Linked DNA regions of Ovis aries. The protein of the gene in region 2 binds, or shares a complex with, the protein of the main gene of each other region. Links are inferred from orthologs where the notes say so. Each region holds a gene or a part of one and is shown on either strand. Other genes may lie near its edges. The genes, in order: ZMAT2, PRPF38A, IK, MFAP1, SF3B3 and SMU1.

Region 1 (4,179 bases), on a different chromosome or scaffold from region 2:
TTGCTGTCAGCAAGTTTCTTGGAAAGTCACCTCAGATTGAGAGGATTCTGAACCATTGAGATCAAAAGTCAAATATTTAGCCTTCCACTATGGCTTCTGGAAAGTTTGTCCAAAACCTAGTCATGGGCTGTTCAGGGAGTTTTGGGGAGACAGCAAGGACGGGAAATGACTTCTTTCTGTTTTGTTTGAGAACAGAGATGCTATCCTAAGGGCATTGCACTGCCCATATTGATGTGACATCTCTCTAGCCCATCCACTGTTAATAATAACAGGGTGAGCCTGTTTGTTTAATAATCTTGAATGTTGAACTTAATAGGTGACCTGACAAGATGGAGATATGTTTTTGGGGCCCATTACCTGTGCCGGAATCACTTCTCTGACTTCTGTGTCCTGCCATGGAGGTAGCTGTTCTTGAAGTGGTTGTATAATATATTAAATAAAATTTTAATGGAGTAGTTTGAGTAATTGTTATCAAGGGGTTGGTTTGCGTAGGCCATGGAAAACCCTAGAGTGTACACGGGAGGATTCTGTGAACTAGGAGTTATCTCCCTGGGGTGATGTTTCTGTATTGAGTGAAGGAAGTGACCACAGTTCCCTCTTCCCCCAACTTAGAGATAAAGTCACACCACTGAATCAGTGTATAGTGAGACATCTGCTAGAGTTCTTCACGGGAGTGTTGTTGATACCCAACTTCCCAAGTCCGATCATGTTGTTTAAACTGTGCCCTATGGAGTTGGTGATGGAGAGGGAAGCCTGGCGTGCTGTGATTCATGGGGTCGCAAAGAGTCGGACACGACTGAGCGACTGAACTGAACTGAAACTGATGGATTGAATGACCCTAATGTACTCAGCTGGAGGAAAAATGAGTGAACCAAAGGGTGGTAGCATTGCTTCAAGATAAAGAGACAAACTGTAAAAAGCGATTTGTATTTGTGTGTTGGGAAGGCTGCAATCTTTTCAGGAAAGTGCTCTGAGCCCGTATTTTTAGTGCTTGCGGTGAATCACTAAAGTGAAGCATTTGAGACCGTATAACAGCGCTTCAGCCTTAAATGTTTGGAAACTCCTGGAATGCACGCAAGTTTATTAGACTAGATCAGAGAGCACTGATCTGAATCTTATTTTCCTCTTGTTAAGATGAGTTGAATCTGCCTGTTTTGAAAGCCAGGACGAAAACGTTTGCAGGCGCCCTTACTTCCGTGTTGCTTCATACTTCCCTTACGCATGCGCCATTTCCTTGGCGCGGAGGCGGGGCTGACAATCCTGTTTTCGAAGCCCTCCAGTTCTTCGCTCGTTTAGAACACGAGACTCTAAGCTGATTGGAGGCAAGCTTGCTTTACGGCTCAAGGCCGCTTTTTACGGCATTTTCCGGCTTCCCATTCACTTCGCAGTGAAGATGGCGTCAGGCAGTGGGGTAGGTGTTGTGTGTGAGGAGGCTTGGAGTCGCGGGTAGAGGGTGGCTTCTCGGCGTTGAATATTCCACACCCAACTGGCTTCCCGACGCCTCTTCGCAACATAATGGCTCCAGTTCAAGAGCTCCCCAGTGAGGCTCTCGCGCAGGGTCTGTGGAATCGGGGAGGGCTCGGGTTGGGGTCCTGAGGTAACCTTAGCCTCCTGGTGGTGTCCGGAGAGGCTTCACTCTCTTCAGGTCCTGGGCCGCCTTGGCAGCGTGGACGCGGTTTCTTCAGTTTTTCCAGGAGTTGGACACGATTAGCGGCGAATCTTAAGCGCATTTTTCTTCCCCCAGACAAAAAACTTGGACTTTCGCCGAAAGTGGGACAAAGATGAATATGAGAAGCTCGCCGAGAAGAGGCTCACGGAAGAGAGAGAAAAGAAGGATGGTGGGTACTTGCTTAGTTAAGTGCTAACTGTGTTGTAGAGGCGATGCAGTGGTTGGAGAGTGAGTGGGTGGGGAGTTGAAATGCGCTGTCCTCCATACTTCTGTAATATCTGGCAGAGTATTCCCTCCCTAGTTCTCGATTTCTTCAGATATAAGGTGAAAGCGAGATGGATTGAAGTGCTTTTGAGGTGCTTTCCAGCTCTGTGATTTTCGGGTTCCTTGCTCTGCCTTTGCTTGGCTCATTTAGTACTTTCCTCCGGTACGGAGAAGAGATTGGAATCCTTAGTAGCGACAGGAGGAGGAGTATTTCGCTGCTGTGTGTTAACTACTATTGAAGAGCCTCTTTTTCTCTCAGCAGGAAACATGGTATTATTTAACCTAGCGTCTAGGACTGTTCTCTGTGCGATAGACAGTGTCAGGGAGTTGGTGCTCCTCTTCTAGAGATTCCACTATGTAGAAAAAAATATCTTCCTTTCTCATCTGTTTTCAAACCATACATTCTTCTGCCTTCTTCCACACCAGGTTACACACTCTAAACCTTTTAGTTTTTATGTAACTTGTATAATAGTGCTTGGCATGCAACAGATTATTTCCCAAATATTGGTCTCCCTTTTAAGAGTAGTCTTGCTGTTCTTTTAAAAGGTTGCTTTTTGTGCAGATTCACAACTCTTGCCTTCAGTTAATTAATGCATTTAAAAAATTGCTTTTAGATTCTTTGGCTTTAAAGTGGAGAAAAGATGTAGAGAGTTAAGAATTGCTTGTCATTTTTTTGTGTTGAGCTTCTCCTTAGCTGCTGCTACAAGTGACTGTTGTGTCCTTTGCTTCATGTTTCACAAAAGAAATGAAAGTAGACCTCTGGATTTTGGACTTTATGCATTTCTTTTCCTTTCTGGTTAAGGAACTCTAATAATGAAGGGACTTCCTTCCCCATTATATTTCAGGAAAACCAGTGCAGCCAGTTAAGCGAGAGCTTCTCCGGCATAGGGACTACAAGGTGGACCTGGAATCCAAACTCGGAAAGACAATTGTCATTACCAAGACTACCCCACAGTCTGAGATGGGAGGGTGAGTGGCTTTTCATCTTTCTCTGCAGCCAGGAAATGTTACGCTCAGTACCTGCCCCCAGAATAACAACCTTGTTTCCTGTAATTCCATCCATTTCCCTCCAGGGTCTCTAGTTAACATGTCTGTAAGAGGGGGTTACTCTGTAGGCTTCTTCATATTAGCACTATATCTACTTCTTAATATTTTAAAAGGGATTATTTGTTCTCCTTCCAAAGGAAGAAATGAAGGAAAGGACTACTCAGGAGATTTCTAGGGGAGAAATTAGGTGCAACTAAAATGGAGCCCAGAAAATGTTGACCATGAATAAAGGGAGTTGAGGTTCAAGACTGGCTACAGAAGTTGTAGTTATGTATTTTCTGGTTGTGCACCTTCCTCCTAGACCCTTACTTTTAGGAAGAAAGGTCTCACAAGAACTCTTCATCTTTTTGCCTAACACTACTACTCTGTCTAGGTGTGTTTTCCAGCAGGAGCATAACACAGATAACAATAAGTGACACTTCTCTGAGCTGCTTCTCTGAGTAAACTCACTGTTAACTTTCCTCTTTGTGTTAGTTATCTATTGCTATTTGTGTTAATACATTAACCCAGTATTAGCAGCATAAAACAAAGAATAGCTCACAATATCTCACATGGGTAAGTAATATGGAAAAGGCTTATCTAAGTAGTTCTGGCTCAGGGTCTCTCACAAAGCTGACATCAGGGTGTCTGCTGGGTCTGCATTCATCCGAGGTGTAAGTGGGGCTGGAGGATCTTTGTCCAAACTGTGTCACGTGACTGTGATTTGGAGGCCTCAGTTCTGTGCTGTATGGGCCACTCCATAGTGCTGCTCACAACAAAGCAAGTGGCTTCCCCAGAGTAGGTGATCTACATGAACAGACTAAGCAGAATGCATGTTTTTTTAAAAAAACCTAATCTTGGAAGTGACGTAGCATTACTTTTGATATAATTTATTGATCATATGGACTAACCCTGGTACAAATTGGGAAGGGCCTATATAGGGTAGGAATATAGGTGGCATCAATGTGGGGGCCATCTTGGAGGCTGGAAGCCACACTCTTCTAAGAGCAAAGGCTTTGTGGAAATGAGAAGTGTCTCCTCTAAAAAGAATTTTTACCTAAATATTATCAGTTTCTTGGCTGAAAACGATAAAATCTTTATAAGCAAATTTGAAGCTAGTGTTGTTTCTTTTTGTTTTCTAGGTACTACTGCAATGTCTGTGACTGTGTGGTGAAAGACTCCATTAACTTCTTGGATCACATTAATGGAAAGAAACGTAA
Region 2 (4,280 bases):
CGCGCTCCCTGCAGTAGAAGCACCAAGTCTTACCCACTGGACTGCCAGGAAAGTCCTTCCCCACTCCCTTAACCCTTTGCATTTATTCATACGGGACAGTGGTTTTTTTCTTGGTTTTGTTTTTTAATACTTTGATGAATGTTATGAAACAGAATTCACACAAAATTCTGCGTTTAATTTCAAGGAATTCAGAAACCTTCTGAAGTTGCATATTGCCCTGTTACATTAAAAACTGTTGCAAAGGGACTTGATGAACATGATCTCGCCCCAGAAACCTTCCAAAACAGCAGGGAAGAGGGTACCACTTTTACAGACAACCAAAATAGAAAACTACCATATCTAATTATTGCAATTTGGCAGATAGCCCAAGATAAGAATCTTGCATCTCATTTCTCTAAGTCCAGTGCTTTTTCCAATTTGCCAGAAGAGAAGGCCCTTCTATTTCGGGGTTAGACTAGAGAAAGTAAAAGAGGTGCCACTGCAGTTAAGAGCAGCTCGTCTAGGGGAAAAAAAAAGATCTGAGTAGGAGCTCAGGCCCCTTAGTCACGGAAAGGGACTTAAGACTAGTCTCTTTTTCCCTCTGGGAGCAATAGCGACATCCACATCGAGTAGTAACTTCTGCTGCTCCGCTTCCCTGTGGTGCTTGTTACACTACCCTAAAAGAAAGATGCGATTGCTTCCCACGGGCCATGTGGATATAAGGTTCATATGACTCAGGTCAATACTGATAGTCTTAAGGAGCTGAGGACAGGAGTGTTCACGCTTCCTTCTCCGCTGTTGGCTTCCGGTTTCCCACTGCAAGATCGCAATCCCCGGCAGAGGCAGAAAGCTGTTAGAAATCGCCATGTGGAAAGTAAGACGCTCCTAATGCACTTAGAACAGTGCCTGGCATTTAACAGGCGTTTAGTACATATCTGCTGAATGGATTTATGGCTGAATCAGTCCGCAGAGAACAAATTCCACAGTCCCGCGGCTCAGGTCCCTCTCCAGCCTGGGACGTCACACTCACCGGGCGCCAAAGTTTGTTGGAGCTGGGCGCAAGCCTCCTTCCAGCGTCCCCGCTTCAGGAGCTCGTGGAACTGCAGCAAATCTACCTGCCCCAGGGGCACTCTTCTTATAGCTGCCAGGCGCGCAACAACGCCGAAACGGAAGCCTCGCTAGGAATGGAAAGAAGGTGGAGAAAAGGAAATTTCGCGCCAAACGCCGTAGCCCCGCCCCCAGGGTGTCTCCACGTTCCGTCAGCAGCCAGCCCTTCCGCCCCGCCCATCTAAGGAGGGACGCACGACGTACATCCGCCGAAGGGCCGCGGCCATCATTGATTAGGTTTGCGAAGCCGTTCGCCGAAGAAAGTTCCTAACTCGAAAACATTTCCGGGTTCAAGATGCACGCTCGAACCGTTTAGTGAGACTTCCTCCAACCTCATCATTTCTCTCTGGTTTTTTTAACGTGGATGTGACGTCTTAAAGGACCCGACGGAAATAGAACGTCAGGCGTTCTAAAATGGCGAACCGTACGGTAAAAGATGCGCACAGCATCCACGGCACCAACCCTCAGTATCTGGTGGAGAAAATCATTCGGACGCGAATTTATGAGTCCAAATACTGGAAAGAGGAGTGCTTTGGACTTACAGGTGAGCAAGAGCGTGCGGAACACCCCCCATCCCCGCCCCAACCCCTGTCGTCCCGTGGCCCAGTTTTCCGGAGTAGTACAATAGGACTGGCCCACTGGGGGTGAGATTTAGGGGGAATTTTTCAGTCATTCGGAAGAATCTGAGCGCCTACTCTGTGCCTAGTGTTGTGTTGGGCTTTGGGAACACAGATAGATGTGATAGGACCTTATTCGGAAGGGTGTCACACGTCGTTTCTTTGAGGCATTCCATAGTTAATGATAACTTACTGGGTTCCCGGAGAAGGCGATGTCACCCCACTCCAGTACTCTTGCCTGGAAAATCCCATGGACGGAGGAGCCTGGTAGGCTGCAGTCCACGGGGTCGCGGAGAGTCGGACAGGACTGAGCGACTTCCCTTTCACGTTTCACTTTCACGCATTGGAGAAGAAAATGGCAACCCACTCCAGTGTTCTTGCCTGGAGAATCCCAGGGACGGGGGAGACTGGTGGGCTGCCGTCTATGGGGTCGCACAGAGTCGGACACGACTGAAGTGACTTAGTAGTAGTAGTAGTAGTAGTAGTAGTAGTAGTAGTAGTAGTAGTAGTAGTGTTAACCCTGAAGGTCTTAAAGGAGCGTCAGTATTCCCGAAACCAAATTTATAATCTTACCAAATCTGGACCATTTGCAATATTTCACATTCCCAGTCCTAATATAAATATATGTTTTTAAGAGAAATCTTCCAGGTCGTCTTTGATACTCGGTTTAATTCTGGCTTTTTTTTGGTACCTGTGTTTCCCCCGTGAACCATTAGTTCATCTACTGTAAACCGAGCACAATAATACCCACATCAGAGGTCAACGGATTAAATGATTTAACCCAAGAAATCTAACGATTAAATGAAATAAAGTGTAAGAAGTGTTGGGTATATAGTTACAGCTTGTTCAGTCGCTAAGTAGTGTCAGACTCTTGTGACCCCCCTGGGCCGTAGCCTGCCGGGCTCTCTCTCCTCCACTGTCTGCCAGAGTTTGCTCAAATTCATGTCCATTGAGTCGGTGATGCTATGTATATTTAGCTACAGCCATATATTAATAAAAGTACTCAGTAATCAGTGGTGATAGTGGCGCAGGTTGTTACCACTGCTACTTACTCCTGTGCTGTTACTGCTCTGCCATCACCCTAGCTGTGTATCCACGGCAGAGCCATATTGGTTTTCAGAGTCGCCATTAAATTTTGGAGTCATGTAAGATTTACTTTGGGGGCCTTTTCTCATTCCAGAGGTGAAATGACTTGCCCTCGTTCACAAAACTGGTGTCTGATTTTGATGACAACATCGAGAAGTTATCCCTGTTGTCTAGATGAACTTAAGAGTTACATAGTTGAGGAGTGGTTTGTTACAGTTTTCCTCCTTCTAACTCTTATTTAATCTGGCAGTTTTTCCTCTAACATGATGGTGACAAGCACAGACTCTGAAGTCAGACTTCTTGGACTAAAATCCAGGCCCTGCCACTTTCTGGCTGTGAATCTTGAGCAAATCATTTAACCTTTCTTAGCCCTCATTTTCCTTAGCTGAAAACAAGGGCAGTGCTGGAACTTAAGCTCATGACTTGTGAAGATTAAATGAGATAGTATGAAGTGCTTAGCAGAGTGCTTGGCATATAATAATCTCTCAGTGTGTATTGGCTGCTGTTATTTATTGCACACTTGTTCTCCTAATATTAAGCTGTTAATTCAGGAGCACCAAATTTTGAACTAACTTTAACTCTCTGCACTTCAAACCTGTAAAAGCTTAGTCTTAATATGTCTGCAATGCCACTCTGTTTTTGTTTTTTAGCTGAACTTGTAGTCGATAAAGCTATGGAGTTAAGATTTGTGGGTGGTGTCTATGGTGGCAACATAAAGCCAACTCCTTTTTTGTGTTTAACCTTGAAGATGCTTCAGATTCAACCTGAGAAGGACATCATTGTAGAGTTTATAAAAAATGAAGATTTCAAGTGAGTAAAATATTTACTAGCTAATATAAATATTTTAATTTCATGGTCCAGAATTTGGCTTTGGTTAAAAGAAGTGAAACAGTGTATCCCATTTCCAAAGTCCCACTCTGGTATTTTGTTCCTGCGCCCCTTGAGTTTTTGTTTTGTCTGTTTTGATTGTATTAACCTTCTTTACTTTCTGAACCTTGGTGACTTTTCTTCCAAAAAAGTATTTCACAAAACTCACTGACATATATTAAGCAGAAGTTAATGCCAAATATGTTGGTAGCACTGAATACTTAAGGATGAAGAAAGCAACATAAAGTGTGGTGAAGAAGAGGGAGACGTTTGTGTTAATTGTAGGTTCATGTCCAGACCCTATTACCTATGAACTGTGACCTTGGAGAAGTTACTTAATTTTCTAAATTTTACTTTCTTTACCTGTAAAATGGAAACAATAATACCAACTCAGGATAGATGTGAGGATTAAGGAAGAAAGAGCTGTAAATCTCTATCGGTGCCTGTTGCATGGTATCTGGCCCCAAAATATAAGCTGTTTGAGGAGCTCACAGATGAGAACAGGAGACAGATGTAATAATAGATTATTATTGCCAATCTCTATTCTAAGAAATTTACATGCAATAATTTATTTAACCTCCACAACTACCCTGTAAAATTATTATCCCCATTATGTAGGGGATG
Region 3 (2,909 bases), on a different chromosome or scaffold from region 2:
ACCAAACCCCTCTTAGCTAGGACAGGGATTCCTCAAGTGAGGGATTCCTCACTTCCCCTCCAACCCAATAAGCAGTGATTTCTGCTTGGAATTACTGAGGATCCCCACAAGGCATAAATCTGTGTGAAAGGTTTTTTGTTCCCAGGAGTGTTTCTCATCAAGTGCCTTCACCTAGAACCCAGTCATGCACAACCTTGGGATCAGACTGGCAGCTCACTGGGCTAACCCTAAGTCCCAGAGAACCTCTACCCTAAGACTAGGTCCCCAGATGAGTCTGCTATTTAAGACCAATCATCTTTGTTTTTCTGTGCTTATCAGTGAGGGTCAATCGTCCCTTCTCCACTGGGTATCCTGGCTACTATATATATTGCTTAGGAATCTATTAACAGAAGCACAGCTCAGCAAAGGACTGAGCTGACTTCCATGTGATTTTTATACAATCAGTGGGATTAGAAGACTTCTTGGTGTACCTGGGCCCTCAACATACATAAGATAAGACAGCAGGTTAACCAACTTTAATGGGATCAAAACATTATACAATAAAATTTATACACATTCACACACAAAAAAATCTTTCAACTTTTTTTTTGGAATTGTATAAAGCAAGCAGTGGGGAGTAAATCCTTGTGGAGATTATTCTTGGAGTTGGAACCAGAGATTTTAGTATTTTGGTCTTTTCACTTCAACTCTGCAATAGAAGGAGAAATGAACATAAGATCAATATACTAAGCAATTCTCACCAGTCCCACAGAGGAAAAATAATGCTGCTCACCCATCAGCTTCCATCTTCTTCCTCTTCTCAATGATCTGCAAGAACAACAGTTATAGTTGATAGACTGCCATTCTAAGCTCACCTGAAACCCAAGGCTGACCTCTCTCCTACTTCCATGGCTCTCCAACCCCTTGCCTGGTTCCTGAATCTGTGGGCAAGTATGTCTTCCCAGCTCAGGCCCTCCCACCCAGAACCAGTCCCACTTACCGCACTAATCTTTTTCCACTGGCGATCAAGCTCTGCTTTGTCATTGGTTTCCTTGAAGCGCCTGGTTTTCCGCCCTTCAGACATCTTGATGCCATACTGGAATGCAGCTCTGAAGGGAAAAAAGGGGAGTTGAGGGAAGGAGGCATCAGAGGTTACAGAGCAGTAGCAAGGTGTTCCCAGAGGACCTATGAGCAGAGAACTGATTTTGTAATGTTTCAGCCAGACTACACCCTCTCACCACCCACCATCCCTCTCCTCACACTTGGCTGTATTTAGTACCAAGACTCACTTGGGCAAAGCCTCCTTGTTGTTCATATACTCGCTATATTCCTCCTGGGTGTCAAAGTCCCAGCGGCCTAAAGGACCTTTCTTGTTACCCTGTTGCAGGACAGAATGGGGGGGGGGGGCAGGGAAGGAAGAGTTGTCAGTGGAAATCAAATTTTAGCCCTTGATTAAAGCCAGGCTCTCCCATAATCCCAGGTTTTATCATTAATAAATCCTACCTTAATAAGAAGTGTTTACTATGTACTTACTATGGGTTGGGAAGATCCAATGCAGAACGGAAAGGCTACCTACTCTAGTATTCCAGCCTGGAGAATTCCATGGACTGTATAGTCCATGAGGTCGCAAAGAGTCGCACAACTGAGCGACTTTCACTTCACTCACTCCTATGGGCCAGATATTATTCTGCACATTTAACATGTACCTTATTTAATTCTCTCAGAAACTGTTCTGAGAGAACTTAAGAGTTCTCTCCATTTTCCTAATGAGGAAACTGAAGAATAAGCAGTAACATAATTTGACATGGTCACAACACTAATACCTAGCAGAGCCAGGGTTAAGCAAGGCTCCAAAACAGAATGAGACCATGCTGTTAAGCACAAAAGTACAGAGAAAACAAGGAAAAAGATGACACTTCTTCACCCTTATTGGTGTTTGTTTAAGGCTTAGAGGAAATATCAATCCTGGCTATAATAAAACTCAAGTTATTTTCCTTTTTCTCCTGCCAGTTATTTTCTTTTTTTTTAATTTTATTTTTATTTTACAATACTGTATTGGTTTTGCCATACACTGACATGAATCCACCAAGGGTGTATACAAGTTCCCAATCCTGAATCCCCCTCCCACCTCCCACTGCCAGTTATTTTCTAAAAACTGAAATTCCTTCTGCCCTTTTCTACATGTGCACTAAAGGCCTGCTTACTGCCCAAGATGGAATTCAAAGCCTGGCACTTTATAGAAAATAAAAAGAAACATATTCTTGGCCCTATCTCATTTGACTTAGTCGTGACGCTTTAAAACACTTAAGCTGCCCAAGACCCACAATGCCACTGCTCCTACTACTCCAGCTAATGGAAGATGAGCCTCAGGAAATGACAGATCTTTTGGGAGGAGAAAATGGGATATGTGTTAAACAGTAACTGCCCCCACCCATTCTTCCAGCTCCACACCTGGTCCATTTTGCTATAATCCACCTCCTCATCACTGTCCACAGCCATGTCATCCATCCTAAAAAGAAGCAACAGTTTAAAAGAGATGGTGGATTTCCAGACTCCTATGATTCATTCAGAAACCTACCTACTAAGAGACTATATGCCTAGGAATAGCCATCCCTCCTAGGCCTCCCACACAGAGCCTAACAGAATACTTTATCTAGTAAGAAGTACCCCTGGGTTCCACCAAGTCAAATTTCCACATCACTGCTACTACCCCCAAACTTATTCTCCGATCATCCCAGTCCACCTTCTTCAATAGAGTCTCGGGACTGCCCTGGTAGTCCACTGCTTAGCAATCCACCCACCAGTGCAGGGGAACAAGTTCAATTCCTGATCTGGAAAGATTCCGCATGCAGGTAGGCAACTAAGTTTGCGTGTCCCAACTATTGAACCTGAGCTCCACAACAGGAAAAGCTACTGCAACTAGAGAGTAG
Region 4 (4,178 bases), on a different chromosome or scaffold from region 2:
TTGGACTGCAAGGAGATCCAACCAGTCCATTCTGAAGGAGATCAGCCCTGGGATTTCTTTTGGAAGGAATGATGCTAAAGCTGAAGCTCCAGTACTTTGGCCACCTCATGTGAAGAGCTGACTCATTGGAAAAGACTCTGATGCTGGGAGGGATTGGGGGCAGGAGGAGAAGGGGACGACAGAGGATGAGATGGCTGGATGGCATCACGGACTTGATGGACATGAGTCTGAGTGAACGCCAGGAGATGGTGATGGACAGGGAAGCCTGGCGTGCTGTGATTCATGGGGTTGCAAAGAGTCGGACACGACTGAGCGACTGAACTGACCTGTGCTCTATAATTTTAATGTAATTTCATTAAAAGCTGTTCTCAGGCTGATTCTAAAATCATATGGAAGAACAGGAGGTCAAAAAGAGCCAAGACAATTCTGAAGAACAAGGTGAGGTAAAAGACCTTAACAGACACCTTGCCAAAGAAGATATACAGATGGCAAATAAGTATGTGAAAAGATGGTCCACATTTTGTGTCTTCGTGCATGCTCTGTGGCTTAGTCGTGTCCGACTCTGCGACCCCATGGACTGTAGCCCGCCAGGCTCCTCTGTCCATGGGGATTCTCCAGGCAAGAATACTGGAGTGAGCTGCCATTTCCTCCTCCAGGGCCTCTTCCTCACCAAGGGATCAAACCTTTGTTTTCTTCATTGGCAGTAATTTTTTTAAACCACTGAGCCACCTGGGAAGCCCTTATATGTCTTCAGGGAATGCAAATTAAAAAAAAAAAAACAACAATGAGATGTTGCTACACACAGAATGGCCAAAATCTAGAGCTCTGACAATACCAAATGCTGGTAAGAATGTGGAGCAACAGGAACTCTGATTTATTGTGGGTGGGAGTGCAAAATGGCACAACCACTTTGGAAGATGGTTTGGTGGTTTCATACAAAACTAAGCATACTCTTACCATATGATCTCATTTCCGCTCTTTGGTATTTATACAAAGGAGCAAAACACAAAAACCCGCACATGGATATCGATTGTAGCTTTGTTCATAATTGCCAAAACTTGTAAGCAACCAAGCTGTCCTTCACAGAGGTGAATGGATAAGTAAACTATGGTACATCCAGATGATGGAATATTACTCAGCAACAACAAAACAAAAAGAGCTATCAAGCCATGAAAATACATGCAGGAAACTTAAAATGCATATTACTAAGTGAAAATACTGTGTGATACCATAATGATGGATATATATCCCGATACATTTGTTCAAATCCATAGAATGTACATCAGAGTGAATCTTAATGCAAACTACGGACTGAATGATAAATGATGTGTCAACGTAGATTCACACTACCCTAGTAGAAATTTTTACACAAGTGCACTAAAGAGACATATTTAAGCACTATTTGTAAAAGGGAAAAAAGTAACAAAATGACAACTAAATGTCCCTCAACAGGGATCAAACTGTGGTTTAATTATACAATGGAACTTATAAGCAGGTAAAGGGGCTTCCCTGGTGGCTCAGAGGTTAAGAATCCACCTGCCAATGAAGGAGACACCAGTTCTATCCCTGGGTAGGGAAGATCCCCTGGAGAAGGAAATGGTAACCCACTCCAGTAATCTTGCCTGGGAAATCCCAAGGACAGAGGAACCTGGTGGGTTACAGTCCCATGGAGTCCCAGAGTCAGACAGGACTTAGCGACGAAACAAGCAGTTAAAGTGAATGAATGAGATCTTCAGGTATCCAAAGGACACTTACCAAAGTCATGCTGACTTAAGGAAAAAACAACAACAAAAGGCAGAATGCACAAAGATAGATACTGTATATTTAAAAGATAAAAAGAACTGACATTATTTTCCAAATACTTTACTGAAAAAACTCAGACTTTCAGTCTGACTCCCCAAACAAGTACAGTTTTCCTTCGTCCATCTGCACTCATTAGAATCCTACCCATCCTTTAAAGATCAAGTTAAATATTCCAATCTGAAGAGATTATTCCTTCTCTGTCCTCCCAAAGCATTTCGTTTATATCACCTATGTGACAGGTTTTATAGGTGGGAAAGACCATAAATTTGTTCAGAATGTGCCTCTTTTTTGCATGTCTCACATCTACAGACTATGAGTTCCTTACACCACTGTTTTACACCATTTTGTATTCAATGTAACAAATACAGTCACTGCGATGGCTGAAAGGGATAAAAAGTTTTAAGATAGAGTTCTTGCCTCAAATAGGTTATTGATTTACGATGTAGTAGACGGAGGTGGACAAGTAATTACAATCATACGAGTTATAAAAGCACCATAAACAGACAATGGACAACAAAATGTATGCTACACAAAGCCATGCAAATAGCAGGCATTCACTATATTAGCTTAACTTATTGGTGGACGAGAGAGCACACAGGTTCTACTAAGGAGATGAGTTCTAAGTAGCAACGCGATCGGATCCGAGTTTGACGGGGAAGTCGAAGAAATAGGGGCAGGGTCTTAAGGATCTCTGGGGATAAGGTGGTGGACCCGGGGTAAGTTTGGAATATCCTGACGAAAGAGATAAGATCCGACTGGAAAACCGCTCAACACAGTACCTTTCTCATTGCGAACCGGGACGGCCCCAGCCGTTGACTGAATGGGCGGTTGTTTCATGAGTGAGCTTGGGACCGACATGTTGACGACAGCGGCGGTGACTCCCGAAACTCGACTGATTTCAAAGTGAACAGCTACAACGTCAACGAACAGATAAAACCCTCTCCTCCTAGGACCACTTGAAACTGCTCCGCGACTGATAGAAACACCACCTTCGACTGAGCTAGAAAAACCGGAAGTATACGACCAGAGGATTGTGGGATTGTGGAGGACTTCTAGACGCCTACGACTAGAAGGTGGAGTCTGTTACTGCGCATGTCCATAGGCTGCCCCGGTGTTCTCAGTCTCGCAGTGCTTGTACGCGTCTTCCCCGCGGGAAGTTGGTTCCACTGGGATTTGCTGTTAAGACCCTGCGACGAGGGAAGTCTCAAGTAAAGGTTTTGTTCGTTAGGTTGGTCTAAACCCGACTATTACAGGGTAGTGATGAATAATGAAACTCAGGAGATAATGAACTGCAGTTTGTAAAGATTGTCAAATTTGAAAGCTCAGAGTTTAATCGGAATAGAAATCCCGTTAACAGCACTTGATTAGCTCAGTTGATGAGGCTGAGCGGATTGTGGTGAGGTATTTTTTGGTCACTTGAGGGCAAGTGGTGGTAATTTAGGCCAGTGGCAAGAAAAAAAAAATCCCCCAAGCAGCTTAGAATAGTGTCTGAGATCCGAACACTATTAAGCGTTCCAGTTCTGTCCGTTTCTGGAGACTGCCTATTATAACATATTCCTGGCTGGAGTGTTTGTATATGAGTCCGTAAGTAATTATTAAGCACTGGTGTTTACATCACTTAGATCTCTCTAAGGAGTATGGAATATTGTTAAAAGGCTCGTGTCCTCCAGGAACTTGAATTTTATTTAGTAAGTCTTAATGGGAGGCCCGGAGAAGGCAATGCCACCCCACTCCAGTACTCTTTGCCTGGAAAATCCCATGGATGGAGAAGCCTGGTAGGCTGCAGTCCATGGGGTCGCACAGAGTCGGACACGACTGAAGTGACTTAGCAACAGCAGCAGCAATGGGAGGCCTGGCGTGCTGCAATTCATGGGGTCGCAAACAGTCGGATACGACTGAGCGACTGAACTGAACCGAAAGGGTTTATAATAGAATAGGAACAAATAGCCCCCATTTTCTAGGTGGATCGTGTTTAAAAACAAAAACAAAAAACAGGCTAGTTGGCAGAACGCTGTAGAAAAGATTTTATAACTGCTGTGTACGGAGAGAAGGGACAATGTGAGCAAAGTCTTGAAGTCCAGAAATATGGCATATATCAGGCGCTGTGAAAAGTGATTTTATCAGTAATTTTTGAGTCCAGGAGTGAAAAATTGCTGAAGGGAACTTTCCTGAAGGTACTGTTAGTAGCATTACTTCTCAAGTGGTTTCACCTGTTCTACAGTTGGGCCTCAGCTGGGAGAAGAAATAAAATTGGGCAAGTCTCAATCAAAGAACAGTGCAGGACACAAGTTTTGAGCTACGAAGGACTGTAAAAATAGAGTTGATAGAAATTTGTATTGTAAATTTATCAGCTCCAAAATTATGCTATCCCGAGG
Region 5 (3,500 bases), on a different chromosome or scaffold from region 2:
AACAGTGATATATTTTCATTTCCTAAAAGTTAGGTTGGCTTAGGAAATTTGGTGCATTATGCTTGTCAAAGGTCTCTTTATTATCTTGTCAGTAATTTTGCTTGCCATTAGCCTGTAGAGTTCAGTCTTGGAAACTCAAGTTGAGAAATTTTTGCTCGTCGATGATAGAGTGAGAGGAAGCAAAAAAGAACTTATTTAGCAAGCCCCCTTTCTTCTCCAGGCTCGGGAGTTGGGGACGGGGTGGCGTGGTCTGTGACCTCTCCCTGTCTTCAATCCTGTAGTCGGGACAGCTGAACGAGTACACGGAGCGGAAGGAGATGTCGGCGGATGTGGTGTGCATGAGCCTGGCCAATGTGCCCCCTGGGGAGCAGCGGTCTCGCTTTCTGGCTGTGGGGCTGGTGGACAACACTGTCAGGATCATCTCCTTGGACCCCTCGGTGAGTGTCACCCTCCATTTCAAGGATCTTCCAGTTGGAACCTGAGCACCCGGCCCATTCTTGATGTCCCTCTCTGAGATCAGCTGGGCTGGGCCCTGAATCTAGACTTCTGCTGCTTCTGATTATTGTAGCAGCACACCTCATGAATCGCCTGCAGTGCTTTAAAAGGACTGATCCAAGACTACTAAATGTGTCTTTGGCTTAAGTCCTGATTCCCTTTTTTAGTTTAAACGAACGAAAACAAAATCCAAGACTGTGTTTACAGAAAAGAGCCTTAGATGACTCTAAAGAGGTACCCTTTGCTTATTTAGTTTTACCATTCTCCACTTCTACAAAAAAGAGAAAGCCCAATCCTCTCCAGAGCTTGTTTTAAGGTTTAGTTCTCTAGTGACCCCGTACCTGTTGAGAACTCATTCTTCAGGTTTTCCATGTCCATGAAAAAGAGCTGTTCTTCACTTCTAAGAATTAGATTTTTCTGGGTAGGTTTTTTTCCAGAGTTGGTCACTTGCCGTATTCTGTTTTCTCTTTCCACTTTAGGACTGTTTACAGCCTTTGAGCATGCAGGCTCTCCCGGCCCAGCCCGAGTCCTTGTGTATTGTGGAAATGGGTGGGACCGAGAAGCAGGATGAGCTGGGGGAGAGAGGCTCTATTGGCTTCTTGTACCTGAATATTGGACTCCAGGTAAGAGGTCCAGAAACCCTCACTCCTGGGGTCAGGGCGTCTTTTCTCCATGGCTGCTTTGTGTAACGCAGGTGTTTTCTGTGCCTGTGTGTTAGTTACCCGCCTTGTGAGAAGGGATCAGTTTTGCTCTCTGTTCCACTTGTTTTAGCTCTAATTTAGAAGAAATCAGGGCTGGAAAAAAGTATTTTCTAGAGTCTGATAAAACTGCTTAGCAGTGACTGTTTTGGGACAGAGCTATATTGCCTCTGGTTTCCACAGTTTGCAGTTGTGAGACTGTAATCCAGTTGTCCCTCAGTGTCCTTGGGGTTGGTTCCAGGATCTCTCTTGGATACCAAAATCAGAAGATACTCAAGTCCCTTATATAAGATGGCATAATGTTTGTATTTTTTCGTAACCTTTAATTAAATCATCTCTAGATTACTTAATTGCCTAATACAAGGTAAATGCTGTATAAATAGTTGCTGTACATGTGCAGCCAATTCAAGTTTAGTTTTTTGGCATTTTCTGCTTTTGTTCCCCCTGAAATATTTTTGATCTGTGGTTGGTTGAATTGTGGATTCGAAATCCAAGGATACAGAGGGCCTCACAGTTCATGATGGGCTCCGTTAGCAGTAAAGGGCTCCTCGGTGTACCCTGTTGTCAAAGCACCTAGGCTCTTCATGGCATGAAAGGCAGGAACCCAAGAATCAGAGAGTATCAGGGGTTTTGACCATATCCTTTTTTTTTTTTTTCGCCTAGCCCAGGAGACTGTTTGGTTTTTAATTTTACTTCCTAATTTAGAAATTCTCAAACATGCCCAGGAGTTAGACTAACGAAATGCACCTCCATGCACCCATCACCAGTTACCAGCATTTTGCCTTTCCCTTCTCTTCTCTTTAAGGCAGATCCAATTTAGTGTCATCTATAAGGGCTTGAGAACGTAGCTATAACAGAGGAGTGCGTGTGTGTGTGTTTTGAAGCTCTAATATTATGGTTAACAGAATGTAAGTTCCTTAGTATCATCTGATACCCCCATATTCTCATTTTCTCCCTTTTTTATCCTGTTCTGGAAAAAGTTTTTACTTTTGGTTCTACTCAGAATGCATAAAACTGTCCAGTTTTTATCTGCTTAATCTTCTCACATTATTTTATTTCATTATTTATTTGACTGTGTCAGGCCTTAGTTGAAGCATGTGGGATCTTGTTCCCTGATCAGGGATTGAAACCGGGCCCCCTGCGTCAGGAGCACAGTCTCAGCCACTGGACCACCAGGAAGCCCTCACATTTCTTTTAATAACTGTCTCAACTTGTTAAAAAGAAACCAGATCATTGTTCTTGGGGACCTTCCTACTTCCCATCCTGCGCCTGTGCTGGCCTCCCAGAAAATCACAGCGCGATTCTTCCTCATCCCCAGGGCGGAGCGTGTGTTCCTGATTCTGGATGGTGCATCCAGTTTACTGCCTCTGCTGTGGGGGCTGCATCACAGCCTTCAAACCTGAGTTCTTGGATAAACACTTCACTTTTCCCCCTTTGTTCACTATTTTTAGAGTAAGAGGTTGGTGCCATCGCAGTCTCCAGTGAAGACTGCTGAAATGCTTTTTATTTTAATTTTAGATAACATTTGCAGGTTTTTATATTTACATCAGACTATCACAGTCTTTCTTTTAGAAGCTAAGTTGCCACAATATAGAAAAGTGGGAATTTTCCTTCTGAAGTTGCCTCCTTTGTCCATTTAACAGGTGCCTACTATCTTTGGGGGCTTCCTCCTAGCACAAGAAAGTACTCCACACACATCTAGAACATTTTTGCTTCAGACTGGAATAAGGCATTTCTCTCAGGAATCTTTTATTTTTTTAAGGGAAGTGGTATTTAGAGACCACAATAGGCATGGGTATGTTAAACTGTACATGTATCTTAAAATTGTAAAGGGTCTAACATAAAGGGTAAAAAATTTTAAGGATATACGGTAAAAGGAAACTGCTTTTCACTTAGTAAATGCTCAGTAACTATTTGAGTGAGTGGTTTAGGAAAATGAATGAATGGCTGGCTGATGACTATATATTTAAACCGCCCAGTCATTTTCTTCCAACTGAAATAGGGTAGCTAAAGAAGCTTCCATTATGGGTAGGCCTTAACCACCTCTCTCATTTTTATTAGAATGGTGTGTTGCTGAGAACTGTCCTGGACCCTGTCACTGGGGACCTGTCTGACACCCGCACTAGGTACCTGGGGTCCCGTCCTGTGAAACTGTTTCGTGTCCGGATGCAAGGCCAGGAGGCAGTAAGTAATGAAAGGGGCAGAATGTGTGTGTGGATATTAGTGGCATCAGCTGAGCCCTGTGGTGTAAATCTTGCTGTCAGTAATTCACCAGTGTTGTAGTTAGTTAGTTGGACATTAGCTTTA
Region 6 (3,972 bases), on a different chromosome or scaffold from region 2:
AGAAGTTCAGTGGACTTCTGATAACGTCTAATTTCACGGAGTGTCCCAGTACCAAGCCTGTAACGATGTGGTTCATTCACCTCTCCAGTAGAGGGCGCACTCTTGAGAGCGGCTTTTGTAGCAAGTTGCTTCCTCGGTGCTTTACCACCGGTCGATTTGCCGGTAGTCTGCTTTGTACGAGCCACGGTATAGAGACCTCCTTACTTACCCACCTTCTCCTTCGGCTGGAGCTCCGAGAGCCAGAAGAGGCGCTGGCGTTGGAGAGCGACGGCGGCGCGGTGGTGGCTGCGAATACAACTCAGGATTGATGCTTTTGAACTGCGGTGTTGAAGACTCTTGAGAGTCCCTTGGTCTGCAAGGAGATCAAACCAGTCAATCCTAGAGGAAATCGGCCCTTAATATTCATTAGAAGGATTGATGCTGAGGCGGAAGCTCCAATACTTTGGCCACCTGTTGTGAAGAACTGACTCACTGGAGAAGTTCTTGAGGCTGGTCTTGAGATTGAAGGCAGAGAAGAAGCGGACGACAGAGGATGAGATGGTTGGATGGCATCACCGACTCGATGGACATGAGTTTGAGCAAGCTCTGGGAATTGGTGATGGACAAGGAACCCTGGCATGCAGCAGTCCATGGGGTTGCAGAGTCAGATACGACTGAGCAACTGAACTGTACTGATACATACGTACCCTCCCTCTTGAATCTCCCTCCGACTTCCCACCCCATCCCACCCATCTAGGTTGTCACAGAGCACTGGGTTGAGCTCCCTGAGTCATACAGCAAATTCCCACTAGCTATCTGTTTTGTTTATGGTAATATATATGATTCTCCTGTACTCTCAATTCATCCCACCCTCTCCTTCCCCCACTCTGTCCAAAAGTCTGTTCTCTATGTCTGTCAGCCCTATCTTTAAATCTAAACTAAGTAAAAATTTAAAAGGCAACATTTAGAAACCAGTCCTTTAAGAACGACTCTTTCTTTAGAGAGAATGAAGAATTCTCTGGACCAGGCACTTAGGTTCAGACTTCTGAAACGCCCTCGAAGCTCCGCCCTGCACCGCCCTGCGTGCAAGCCCCGCCCAGCACTGCCCCGCCCCACACGTAGTCCTCCCTCCTCTTCCGTACACACGGCCTCCGGAGCGAGGGGGCTCGACGTCGAGCGGAAGTGACGTACGTGAGTCGCCGGAGGTGGCGTTGGTGCGTTGTGCGGCTGGGCCTGAGAGTGGAGTGGGGCCTGCGCCCGGAAAGACAGCGCTATGTCGATCGAAATCGAGTCCTCCGAGTGAGTCTCGTGGTGTCGGATGTTCGCGAAGTGGCCGGGCCGGGAGTCGATGAGTTGAGGGGTAGAAGCTGCTCGAGGGAGGCGTCCCAGAGGTTGGGAGTGGAGGGGTATTTACTTCCCCACAAAGAAGCTTTTGGGATCTGACTGCTTCAGGGGCGGGCCCGCAAGAAAGTAGCGAACGGAAAGCCCAAAGCCTGGTGGAAAGCGGCGCGGGGCTAGGGGTAGGACGTGCCTGCAAAACCTGAGTTCTAGCCCTCGCCGACTCCTGATGCGCCCTGAGACTGAGCAGATTAGCCATCCAGTCAGGACTCCGGTCTCATCTGCACAAGGGGGCTGCACTCTTAGCCTTCCCTCTCTTCCTGCCCCCATTGAGCACGGTGGTTTGTTTCCTCCCCTGTGCTTACACGGCCCTCTGTTTTTTTCTGCCTAGCTCTTAATCTGGTATTGTCACCGTTTGCCCACCCTTCTAGCCTATGTCGGCGCCTAGGGGCTGCTTTTCATCACAGTCTCAGTTCCTAGTACATCGTAGAGGCTCAGTAATTGTCTTTGGAATGAAAGCTACTTGTTTTATCAGGTTCCGTGTGGCGCTGAATTTTGGTTGGCCCGTGAGCTTTGTGTAGCCACAAGGGAGGGACAGAATGTGGAAACTGGGCCAGGAGAATGATAGATTTGGGGGAGAGGGGTACTAATGAGTGACTGAAGAAAGTCTTCAGTGAACTTTTCCAGGACTCCATCCTCTACTTGCTCTTGCCAACGCTTAATAATTAAATTGGCAGATTTTACATTTGCATCATGAGTGTAAGGGAGGGATCTGCCATAGGAGGAAGGGAGGTTTATTCATTCAGAAAATATTGAAGTCTGCTGTGTACCTGCTCTAGCCCTGGGAATATGGTAGTGAATGAAGCAGACCAAAGTCCTTGCCCTTACAGAAAGGAAGGAAAACAGCAGTAAGTAAAATAGGCTTACAGATGGTGGTAAGTGTTGTGGAGAAAAGTAAAACAAAGAAGGATGATGGAGAGTGCTGGCGATGAAGACAGCTAGGAGTTGGCAGGAGTTGGAAAGCATTCCATACTTCAGACCCTGAATCAAAAATGGGAACAGATCATTCTCCCAGCCCTGAGCTGCTGCATGTTTTTTATTATCAGTAATTGCTGTGTTTATTAAGTATTTTCTCTGTTAGCCACGCTGTAAGCAGTGTCATCTTCTCTTTGATCAGCCCTACAGACTGATTTGTATACCCTACAGAGTAGGTATTTTTCTTAACAGATGAGGAAATAGGCAAAGAGACGTTAACTGACTTGTCCAAAGTCACAGTAAGTGCAGAGCTCTGATTCAAATCCCAATCTCTGATTCAAATCTCCAAAACTTTTAACTCTTATGTATTACACAAAGAAGAAAGTGAATTTGATTTTGGCTCTAGAAAATACGAGTTCTTTGCAAGCATGGTGTCTCATTTGTGGAGTATAAATGGAAGTGTGCTGTTGGGAACAGTGTGGTGCTAGAACAGCAGGGATCCAAGCTGGGGTCTCTTAACGGCCTGTGAAAGAAAAGACCACTGTGAGTAGCAGTATTCAGTTCCCTTCTGCAAGAACTGTTTTTAAGAAGAGGGGGTTTGCTCTCCTATCCGGGCTATTGGAAGGACTAATGCTGCAGCTCCAATACTTTGGCCACCTATGGAAAGAGCTGACTCATTAGAAAAGACTCTGGTGCTGAGAAGGATTGAAGGCAGGAGGTGGAAGGGATGAGAGAGGGCAAGGTGGTTGGATGGCATCACTGACTCAATGGGCATGAGTTTGAGCAAGCTCTAGGAGAAGGTGAAAGACAGGGAAGCCTGGTGTGCTGCAGTCCACGGGTTCGCAGTGTCAGACACGACCGAGTGACTGACAACAACAAAATATGCTCACATGCCACACTGCCCGTTTGAATCTTCCTTTTTCCACTTAGCTCTGTTTCCTGGCCAAATCCTCATCTGTAAAATGGACCTAAGAGTAAATGCCATCCTCATAGGGTTGTTTTGAGGAGTAGCTGAGTCGGAAATGCTTAGAACAGTACCTGATATATTGTGAACACTGGTCAAGTAAACATTGGTCATTGTTTTTTGATTATTGTTTCTCTCCCGGGAAAGAGAATAGACTAAATTCCAATTTGAAATCTCTTCCAATCTGGACAGTGTGACCCCTGATACTCATGCTGTCCAGTAGAAGTATGCATGAGCCATATGTGTACTTCAAAGGCAAGAGAAGAACAGTGTAGTATAGCAATGTACATGAGCTTTTACTGTCTATATGAAAAATTATTCACCAAACTCCTTAATACTAAGCCAGAGATCAAGAAGTTTTAATTGAATATATATTTAACTTGTAAGTTTTCTGTCATATGCTGAAAATTGTTGCTTGTTCTCTCAGTATTTGGAGATTGTCTGGGTTCTCTTTCCCTTGGGAAAGTGTATTCACATGTTTTTATTTCACTTGTCCTGAAATTTTGGTAATAATGGCAGTGGGTAGGTGTTATTTTTGTGAGGACACATAACTTTGTTTTGAATTTACATCTAATATAGCTCTACTTATTTATGTTCAACAAATCCCTGTTAAAATGGTCTCAATTCATATTTTTTTTGCTGTCATTTAAAAATGGACCAAACCATTCAGTCATTTAGAGTATTCTGTATCAGTGACTAGACTAGGTTTAAAACGT

The links.
Region 1: PRPF38A (region 2) and ZMAT2 share a complex: the UniProt entries of both Homo sapiens proteins name them as parts of the spliceosome B complex. The link is inferred for Ovis aries from reciprocal best matches to the Homo sapiens genes PRPF38A and ZMAT2.
Region 3: PRPF38A (region 2) and IK share a complex: the UniProt entries of both Homo sapiens proteins name them as parts of the spliceosome B complex. The link is inferred for Ovis aries from reciprocal best matches to the Homo sapiens genes PRPF38A and IK.
Region 4: the proteins of PRPF38A (region 2) and MFAP1 are in contact, whole or in part, in a crystal structure (PDB 5F5S), measured with the Homo sapiens proteins. The link is inferred for Ovis aries from reciprocal best matches to the Homo sapiens genes PRPF38A and MFAP1. Residues at the interface, in NP_116253.2 of Homo sapiens: Tyr124, Asn125, Tyr127, Lys129, His143, Asp145, Glu146, Asp149, His153, Tyr169, Val170, Glu172; in NP_005917.2 of Homo sapiens: Glu275, Tyr276, Trp279, Arg282, Glu283, Arg286, Arg289, Asp290, Arg294, Leu297, Glu298, Lys301.
Region 5: PRPF38A (region 2) and SF3B3 share a complex: the UniProt entries of both Homo sapiens proteins name them as parts of the spliceosome B complex. The link is inferred for Ovis aries from reciprocal best matches to the Homo sapiens genes PRPF38A and SF3B3.
Region 6: PRPF38A (region 2) and SMU1 share a complex: the UniProt entries of both Homo sapiens proteins name them as parts of the spliceosome B complex. The link is inferred for Ovis aries from reciprocal best matches to the Homo sapiens genes PRPF38A and SMU1.

Annotation. Positions count from the first base shown.
Region 1 is NC_056058.1:49,485,641-49,489,819, forward strand, and holds the start of ZMAT2 (zinc finger matrin-type protein 2), read left to right. Parts: upstream 1-1,379; 5' UTR 1,380-1,393; coding exon 1,394-1,411; intron 1,412-1,744; coding exon 1,745-1,838; intron 1,839-2,778; coding exon 2,779-2,902; intron 2,903-4,101; coding exon 4,102-4,175; intron 4,176-4,179. UniProt on the Homo sapiens protein: Involved in pre-mRNA splicing as a component of the spliceosome.
Region 2 is NC_056054.1:26,803,042-26,807,321, forward strand, and holds the start of PRPF38A (pre-mRNA-splicing factor 38A), read left to right. Parts: upstream 1-1,480; 5' UTR 1,481-1,500; coding exon 1,501-1,630; intron 1,631-3,439; coding exon 3,440-3,599; intron 3,600-4,280. UniProt on the Homo sapiens protein: Involved in pre-mRNA splicing as a component of the spliceosome.
Region 3 is NC_056058.1:49,453,081-49,455,989, reverse strand, and holds the end of IK (protein Red), read right to left. Parts: intron 2,489-2,909; coding exon 2,431-2,488; intron 1,358-2,430; coding exon 1,269-1,357; intron 1,089-1,268; coding exon 980-1,088; intron 808-979; coding exon 773-807; intron 689-772; coding exon 661-688; 3' UTR 501-660; downstream 1-500. UniProt on the Homo sapiens protein: Involved in pre-mRNA splicing as a component of the spliceosome. Auxiliary spliceosomal protein that regulates selection of alternative splice sites in a small set of target pre-mRNA species. Required for normal mitotic cell cycle progression.
Region 4 is NC_056071.1:53,265,322-53,269,499, forward strand, and holds the start of MFAP1 (microfibrillar-associated protein 1), read right to left. Parts: upstream 2,801-4,178; 5' UTR 2,662-2,800; coding exon 2,583-2,661; intron 1-2,582. UniProt on the Homo sapiens protein: Involved in pre-mRNA splicing as a component of the spliceosome.
Region 5 is NC_056067.1:1,088,206-1,091,705, reverse strand, and holds part of SF3B3 (splicing factor 3B subunit 3), read left to right. Parts: intron 1-281; coding exon 282-437; intron 438-974; coding exon 975-1,118; intron 1,119-3,254; coding exon 3,255-3,377; intron 3,378-3,500. UniProt on the Homo sapiens protein: Component of the 17S U2 SnRNP complex of the spliceosome, a large ribonucleoprotein complex that removes introns from transcribed pre-mRNAs.
Region 6 is NC_056055.1:38,076,462-38,080,433, forward strand, and holds the start of SMU1 (WD40 repeat-containing protein SMU1), read left to right. Parts: upstream 1-1,172; 5' UTR 1,173-1,252; coding exon 1,253-1,278; intron 1,279-3,972. UniProt on the Homo sapiens protein: Involved in pre-mRNA splicing as a component of the spliceosome. Regulates alternative splicing of the HSPG2 pre-mRNA. Required for normal accumulation of IK.